Linked DNA regions of Mus musculus. The protein of the gene in region 1 interacts with the protein of each later gene in a pairwise test. Links are inferred from orthologs where the notes say so. Each region holds a gene or a part of one and is shown on either strand. Other genes may lie near its edges.

What was found. The genes of interacting proteins can lie anywhere in the genome.
Region 2: the proteins of Hmbox1 (region 1) and Rpl9 interact in binary tests that used the Homo sapiens proteins (3 or more experiments, as listed by UniProt). The two-hybrid records come from large-scale screens. The link is inferred for Mus musculus from reciprocal best matches to the Homo sapiens genes HMBOX1 and RPL9.

The regions. Positions count from the first base shown.
Region 1 is NC_000080.6:64,946,970-64,950,716, forward strand, and holds the start of Hmbox1 (homeobox-containing protein 1), read right to left. Parts: upstream 2,889-3,747; 5' UTR 2,608-2,888; intron 1-2,607. Other genes in the region: Ints9 (integrator complex subunit 9), read left to right, coding at 3,390-3,398. UniProt on the Homo sapiens protein: Binds directly to 5'-TTAGGG-3' repeats in telomeric DNA. Associates with the telomerase complex at sites of active telomere processing and positively regulates telomere elongation.
Region 2 is NC_000071.6:65,389,160-65,392,906, forward strand, and holds the start of Rpl9 (60S ribosomal protein L9), read right to left. Parts: upstream 2,273-3,747; 5' UTR 2,217-2,272; intron 1,834-2,216; 5' UTR 1,833-1,833; coding exon 1,787-1,832; intron 1,696-1,786; coding exon 1,580-1,695; intron 1,325-1,579; coding exon 1,229-1,324; intron 452-1,228; coding exon 319-451; intron 1-318. Other genes in the region: Lias (lipoyl synthase, mitochondrial isoform 1 precursor), read left to right, coding at 2,470-2,514, 3,061-3,230.

The sequences.
Region 1 (3,747 bases):
ATGCTGAGAGTGTTTTATGCTTTAGTCTGCAGTAAAGGCTTTACATCATTTTAATGCCCCAGTACTCAAAATGCAACAGAATCAGCCCAGTGAATATAAGGAAGATTCAGTGTACATGGAGCCATTATTTCCAGACTACTAGTCAGAAAAAGTTTAACGAATGTTTTTCCCATAAATAACTTCACAATTCCATTGATGAAAATAAACAAGAAGAAGATTCAAGGTAAGGGTAGATGAAAAACACTCATTTTTCTAGGTTGGAACATTTTAGTTTGTCATATCTAAAATGATTATTAAACATGTAAAAATTCAATATCTACTAGAATACATTTTGGAAAACTACAAGTAAACAACTATTTTGTTGTTACATGGAATTTTCTTCCAGTTTTTGAAAAATAATGTTTCAGGTTAAGATAAAGCCTCAAACAAGTAATTCTGAAAATCCTGGTCTTCAACAAACCATAGGCTCAGCTTGGAACAGCACACTGTGTACAAAATTATATTTAGGTCCATTCACATACTTAACACTCAACTTCATGCAAACACAGTCCCCTTATCTGTGGGAATGATCAACAGCAGAAATTTCAAATCAAAGACTAAAACTACCATAAATCCCAGTGTGATGCTATGGAATCTAAAAGCCCATAGCTAACAGAAGAACTCAAGAACTAACACATTCTTGACCAAACACATAATACATGAAATTCTCAAGTCAAAATAGAAATAATGCCAATTATTCTTTTAGTGATTTAAAAGTCTATGATATCACAAAATTATCACAGAGAGTGATTGAAGAAGATGTATTTTGGACTGAGGGAGTACAAAATGTATGATCTTAAATTCTCCTGGTGTAATGTCATTAAATATTCAAGACTGTGAGAAACAAGAGATGTTTCATTCCAACCCTAATTGAAAATGGAAAAATAAAATAAAATTTCCCAAACTTGACTTATAAGCATAATACAACCAGATCCAGCAACTTAGCCGTGCAATTTTAATAAGTTTAATGCAAAGCACTGCAAACCTGATGTGATAATGACTTGTGGCATAAATGCAAAATAACAACAAATTCGGGTCCTTTTCACTTAACGATGCATTTTATAGTGAAACCACAAAAAGCACAGCCCATATTAGCACAAACTAAGCAAAAAAGTACAGGAGGTATTATGTCCATCGGGAAGAGAAATGTTCTGTGCCAAGGAAGGAAGGAAGGAAGGAAGGAAGGAAGGAAGGAAGGGGGTGGGGGAGAGAGGAAGCTAAGGAAAGATAGGAAAGAGAAGGCAAAGATTTCTATTATCTGCAGGTCCCCAGAAAAAGGGGCACGTGACTATACCCTATATAACAGACGAGGGTTTTTTTAAGCTTCAGACAAAAATAAAAATAGCAATCACTTTTATCATTCAACTTTACGAAGCGTGTATCTTTACTGCTAAGTGCATTCTTTGCTTCACTCACCCAATGCTTCCTCACTCTTCCATACCAGTTTTCAAGCATTTGTGACACAGAACAGGGTGGGGTAGAAGAAAAAACAAAACAAACAACAAAAAACAAAAAACAAAAAACAAAAAAAGACCACAGCGCCTTTCAGCGCACAGTCAACCCTCTTCTCCGCAAAAAATTTCCAACAGTTTTTTCAACTACGAAAATAAGTCGCCTTATCTACCTCAGGATACAGAGCAGACGTTCTGTCTCATTAGAAGACAGCGATGCGGATGGCATTTAGCACTCGAGATTCCCAGCCCCACGTTCCCGAATTTTAAATAACTGGCAAGCTACTGAGCATGAAGATGACAAGATACCTCTACTTACTGTTTCGGGGTGAAGGTGGGTGGAGGACTCCTTTCAAAGTAGCCCCAATAGTGTAACCCAAACACGGTTCCGGAATAAAATACTAAGAGACACTTTTCCTTTCCCACCTTTAGCTGCCGACTTGAGGCAAAGATGCATCTCCACATCACATCATCTATATAGTCCTGCCGGGAGTTTGGGGTGGAGACTGGCCCAGAGTAGGGCACCGAGTGTGAGCTGGGCGCCCAGACACTAACGAGTTACTGAGCCCCCCCAAACCCTGCACAAGATCCTTGGACCAAAAGTCCAGCCCGGGACTCCTGCGTGCTTCCCAAGCCCAGGCCGCTTATCTCTGACTCCAGCCATCTAACTTACCATCTACAGACATTCCTTCAAGACGATCGCAGCACCCAAGTACACGTCACAGTTTAAAACACAGCGAGACACTCCCCAAACAAACCAGCACACCTCGAAACCACCTTACAGTTTCTCAAACTCCCAAGCAGGAAGACCCCCCAACTCCAGGATTCAAACCTTCCGCCGGTCCTGAAGACCAGAGAGAAGTTGGGAAGCCATCGACGCCTCTCCACGCCCGCCCCTCACAAACTGCCCCACCCCACAGCCCGCGCACGGCCGCCCCCTCGGAAGTACCCCTACTTGCTCCCCTATGCTCAACCTGGCTACTCCAGAGACCCATCTGTGGCGCCTACTCACTTTCTCTCCCCCCCAAACATCTCGACATTTTTTTTTCCTTAAAGTAATGAGAGAAGTGAGGAAAAGAGACTTGAGGCAGTCCAGCTTGCAAACGACCCCACTCACCTTGGAAATCCAGCTGAGAGTTCTCTGCACCCTGCTCAGCCCCCTCCCCAGCGTCCCAGTGCAAGGCTGAGGGAGGGAGGAGGAAGGCGGGAGGGGGAGGGGATCTTCACCGCGGGGCGCCCTGCGGGAGGGGCTGAGGAGGGCTCCAGGCCCGCGCAGGAAGAGCCTAGGGGGGAGGGGAGGCCCCTATCTCCCAGTCTCCCCCTGAAAACCTCCCTTGTCTCAATCACATCAGACTGACTGTCTTTGTCTGGCTGACAACCGCCATATTGATAGCAACAGCCCCGCTCCCACCTGCTGCCGCTGGGCATCCCTGGGAGTTGTAGTTTCCGGTTCCCTAGAGGAAAAGTGCAGAGTTGAGGGTCTGAGGCCCTAGGGAACTACAGCTTCCAGCAGGCACTGCGCCCATACGCCTTCCCACAGGGAGGAGGGGAGCTGGGAGCTGAAATCGTGCGGACTACACATCCCAGAATACCATGGATGCTAGACCCAGATGAGGGACATGATATCATGCTGGGATGGAAAGGAAGGATGAATTGGCGGCGGCGATGAATTTGAGCGGACGGAAGGAGGTGATTAGAGAGAAAAGGGAGGAAAAGGAAAGACGCCCACAGTGCCCATGATACCTGCAGTAAAACTACATTTCCCGTGAGGCTCTGGAAAATGCTTAAGGAGTGAAGACTCCAAGTCCCGCGATGCTCTGGGCTATAGAGATTAAACCGGAAGATCCTTCCCTGTCTTTAGAAGTGAAGAGACTGGTACTGAACAACCAAAAGTCCGATATGAAACTGGTGAGTTTCCACTACTAAGTCAGAGGGCAAAGGTAATGAATGCTATATATCTTTGGAGTCTGTCGCCTCCACCATGATTTATCACGGAGGGAGGTCAGCACTTAAAAATTATAAAGTGAGCTGGGTTTTGCGATTGGGATTTGAATTCCCGCTTGCTCACATCCCACAGCTCCTGCATCTGTCAGGAGGTCTTCATTACTGTTTGGCAGATCCCTTTGGCCGCACGTGAGGTTGTATGTTACATTTCTTCACCCTTGGGCTAAAGATAGGCTCCAAAACTTTGGTTTGGTCATGTTTCTCAGCCTGCACCTGAGAGCTATAATAGATCATCAACCACTTTCCACTTAAT
Region 2 (3,747 bases), on another chromosome or scaffold:
GGTGTGTATTCAACAGCGTTAACAGGAGAGACATCTCACCAATACAACTCCATTTAAAACCCCAAGCAACCAATCAAGTTCTCTAAGACTTTAGGGTTGGAATTGAACCTCCTGTCATCTCAGATGACAAATGTGACTCCCAGATCCCACAAAAGGCTGATGCATCCTACAACTATTTCAGCATACTCCCTCTTCAGGAAAACCTCAAGCTCAGGACCACCCAACAGTCTTCACCACACCCGAACACCAAGGCTCCATCCAGACCCAAGGACAAAGAACTGTAGCAAGTTCCCATCATCCCTCAAGGCCCACACACACCTGTCCTCATCCGAACCCTGCGGATGTATTTTTCACCCAAGAAATTTCGGATTTCAACCAAAGAGCCATTCTCCTGGATGACGACGTTGATGGGGAAGTGAGCGTACACAGACCGCATCTTGTATCGGAAGCCCTGCATCAAACAAGCAACTGTGAGCCATCCTGAACAAACTCAAAGTTTTCGGTTCAGCTGGCCTAGATTTTGAGATTCCTCTTCTTCAGTTTCCCCAGGCTGAATTTAGAGTCAGCTCTAAATGCCCTAAGGTGCTTTTGTCATGTCGTGGAAATTTAACACACGCACTCTACCCACCATATGCAAGTTGCAACATCTTCCCAAAGCTCCAGGAGGAAGCTTTCTTTTACTATCTCATCCTTTGAGGGCATAAGATCCTCATTTTTGGCATTAGGCATCTGTGGAGTTACTACAGACACCACCAGATAATAAGTGACTCCAGACTAAACAAAAGGCCCAGTCCTCCCCAGGAGCAACAGGGTAACACGATCCAATAGGTATACAAAGTACAGCTTGTGTTTATAAAACAACACCTCTTCAGCATTAACTGTTTTGGGAGAAAGGATCTAGAACAGTAACTTCAGAGATGCACAAGTCAGATCTTTTTGTTTGTTTTTTTGAGACAGAGTATAACTCTGGCTGTCTTTTCTATCCATTGAGTCCCAAACATACCAGCCAGCAATCTCCACTATATGTATCTACCAACAAACAAAACCCCTGAAACAGAAGTAAAGGAGCCTGCCCAGCAAATTCCTGGGTCTGATCTGTGCTAACCCACCCCCAATATCTGAAAGTGCCTCCTTTGTAGAAGTACAGTCCATCCTGGCCCTAGACATTTATACACACCCAAGGAACCTCTTCCAAAGGGTTAAAGGGCAGAGTGGAGGGCTGACTTACCAGCGTGACACCCTTGATCATGTTCTGAACATGACTGCAGATGGTCCTGACGGTGGCCAGTTCCTTTCTGTTACCCCACCATTTGTCAACCCGGAGCTGAAACACAACAACTTTAGAATTAAAACACAGCACTTTTAGCTGGCGAGTACTAGCACGCAAAGCCATGTACAAATGCACCGTATGTCACACGCACAGGACACCAGAGGGACGACACACACACACCCAAGTTCACTCATAAAAGAACTGAGTCCGAGTAACCCACTCGGCCACGCATGGGGTGGGGGATTAACATCGGTTACCGGGTTTTGTTACAAGCAAGCACCCGAAGCATCGGAAGACACAAGTTCTTACCCTTTTCTTCTTCTTCCCAAGAAGACTCAGCTCCACGTTGATGTGATTGAAGTCCCTCCGCAGAGTCCCCCTGGGGCCCTTCACAATGACTGTGCGCCCCTTCAGAGTGATTTCGACTAAACGAGAAAGTGAACTGGTGAGACCATAGGCCGGGGTTTAGAGCATGCAGGAAAGCCGTCAGCGGCCGGCGGGGAGCCATCTACTCACCATTCTCTGGAATGTCCACAGTCTGATTGCTGAGAATGGTCTTCATCCTGAAACACAGACACCCGGGTGAGACGGCTGGGGCGGGGGACGCTCTACACCCGAGACCCGGCAGCGTTCCGCTCCCAACGGGAATCGCCAGCTACGAAAGCCGGCAACAAGGACCCAGGTGTGTCCGGGACAAGGACTGGACCGGGGGCCCCGGAGAAGAGTAAGGAAGCCCGGCTCGGTGCGCCATGGCGGAAGGGCTACGACCGAGATGGGCCTGAAAGCCCGAACGCCACTTCCAGCTCGCGCCACCAAGTCCCAAGGACGCACGTCGTGCTGGGGGACAGTCGGGACAAAGCCTTGGGGCATCGGCTCCATGCCGCCGGGGTCCCCAAACAGAGGATGGGTTCAGATTCCCGGGGCACCCGGTCCCTAAGCTCCTCACCTCGCAGTAGATGGGGCAAAGAGAGAACGTCTTTCGTCATCACGTTCTTGTAATCCGTCAGGGCCCTGCGTGTCGCGTCACGACCCGAGCGACGGCTTTAAGGCGGAACTACTCGATTGCCGAGCTAGTCGAGTCGCGCCGGTCGGCGACGACGTATCGCGTCATGACTCAAGCGACGAGTTGTTGGACGCGTCCGGTGCCGGGGGTGCTGTTCCCTCGATCCCTTGACACTCCTGAGACCTAAAAGAGGGGGATGGCTCTACGCTGCTGGGATACAGCTCGCAGCCTGGGGTCCCGGGTGAGCGGCGGGAACGCCATTGCTTATCCTAAGTTCAAAACTAGGGAAATTGTTCCAGATATCCTTTTTTTAAAAGCCCCGACAGCTGTGGCATATCTTAATTATTGCAAACTTGTTGACAACATATTTTAGTACCTGTTTTAGGAATAGAAGACATGAAAACGTGGCATGTTAAGTCACCCACTAAGGTTTTCTAACCTATATTTAGCGGTTAACTTTGATCTGCGTCCCACTTTTTTCCCCCATTTGTCATGGCTGAGCGTGCATCAGGGTCTCTGTAATCTAGGCTGGCCTGAAACTAAATTCTTAGACCAAAGACGACTCCTCACTCTGCCTCCTCTGAGAGCTGCATTACGTGTTTGAGCCGCCGTGACTTACGGTTCTTTCACCTTGAGTCTTTTTCAGGTTCTGATCTACGTAGTTTGAGCTCTTAAATCGTTTTACATAATTTCTGAATCAATTTCTTTAGCTTTGGTATTATAATGGGTTAAAACTAAATTATTTCAGAGTCTACTGAGTGAATGTTGTACTGAACCCTTTTTGTAGATATTTGGAAGATATGCGTTCACGGTTAGAGCATTAAGTTCTTTGCCAGATAAGAAAAAGGAATTTTTGCATAATGGACCAGACCTTCAAGATTTTGTATCTGGTGATCTTGCAGACAAGAGTACATGGGATGAATATAAAGGAAACTTAAAGCGCCAGAAAGGAGAAAGGTAATTGAACATTAGATTCCACTTTGACTTTGTGCATTGTTTGGTTTTGTTTGTTTGTTTGTTTGTTTTGGTTTTGATTTTTTGAGACAGGGTTTCTCTGTGTAGCCCTGGCTGTCCTGGAACTCACTCTGTAGACCAGGCTGGCCTCGAACTCAGAAATCCACCTGCCTCTGCCTCCCAAGTGCTGGGATTAAAGATGCACTGCCTGGCATTGTGCTTTTTTTTTTTTTTTTTTTTTTTTTTTTTTCTTTTTTAATCAAGCCTTGTAGGTTTTTCTGTACCCTTTGGCCATTTCTTCATCCTTTCCAAAATGACCATTTTATGCTGCCATATCCCATTTTATATCTAGCATCTAATTGAGAAAGTATAGGTTTTTCTCTTGATAGTTATTTTATTTATTTGGGTTTTTGGAGATGGTTTCCCTATGTAGCCCTAACTGCCCTAGACTTCTCTCTGTAGACCAAGCTGGCCTCAAACTCAGAGATCCATTTTCCTCTTCCTCCTGAGTGCTGCAATT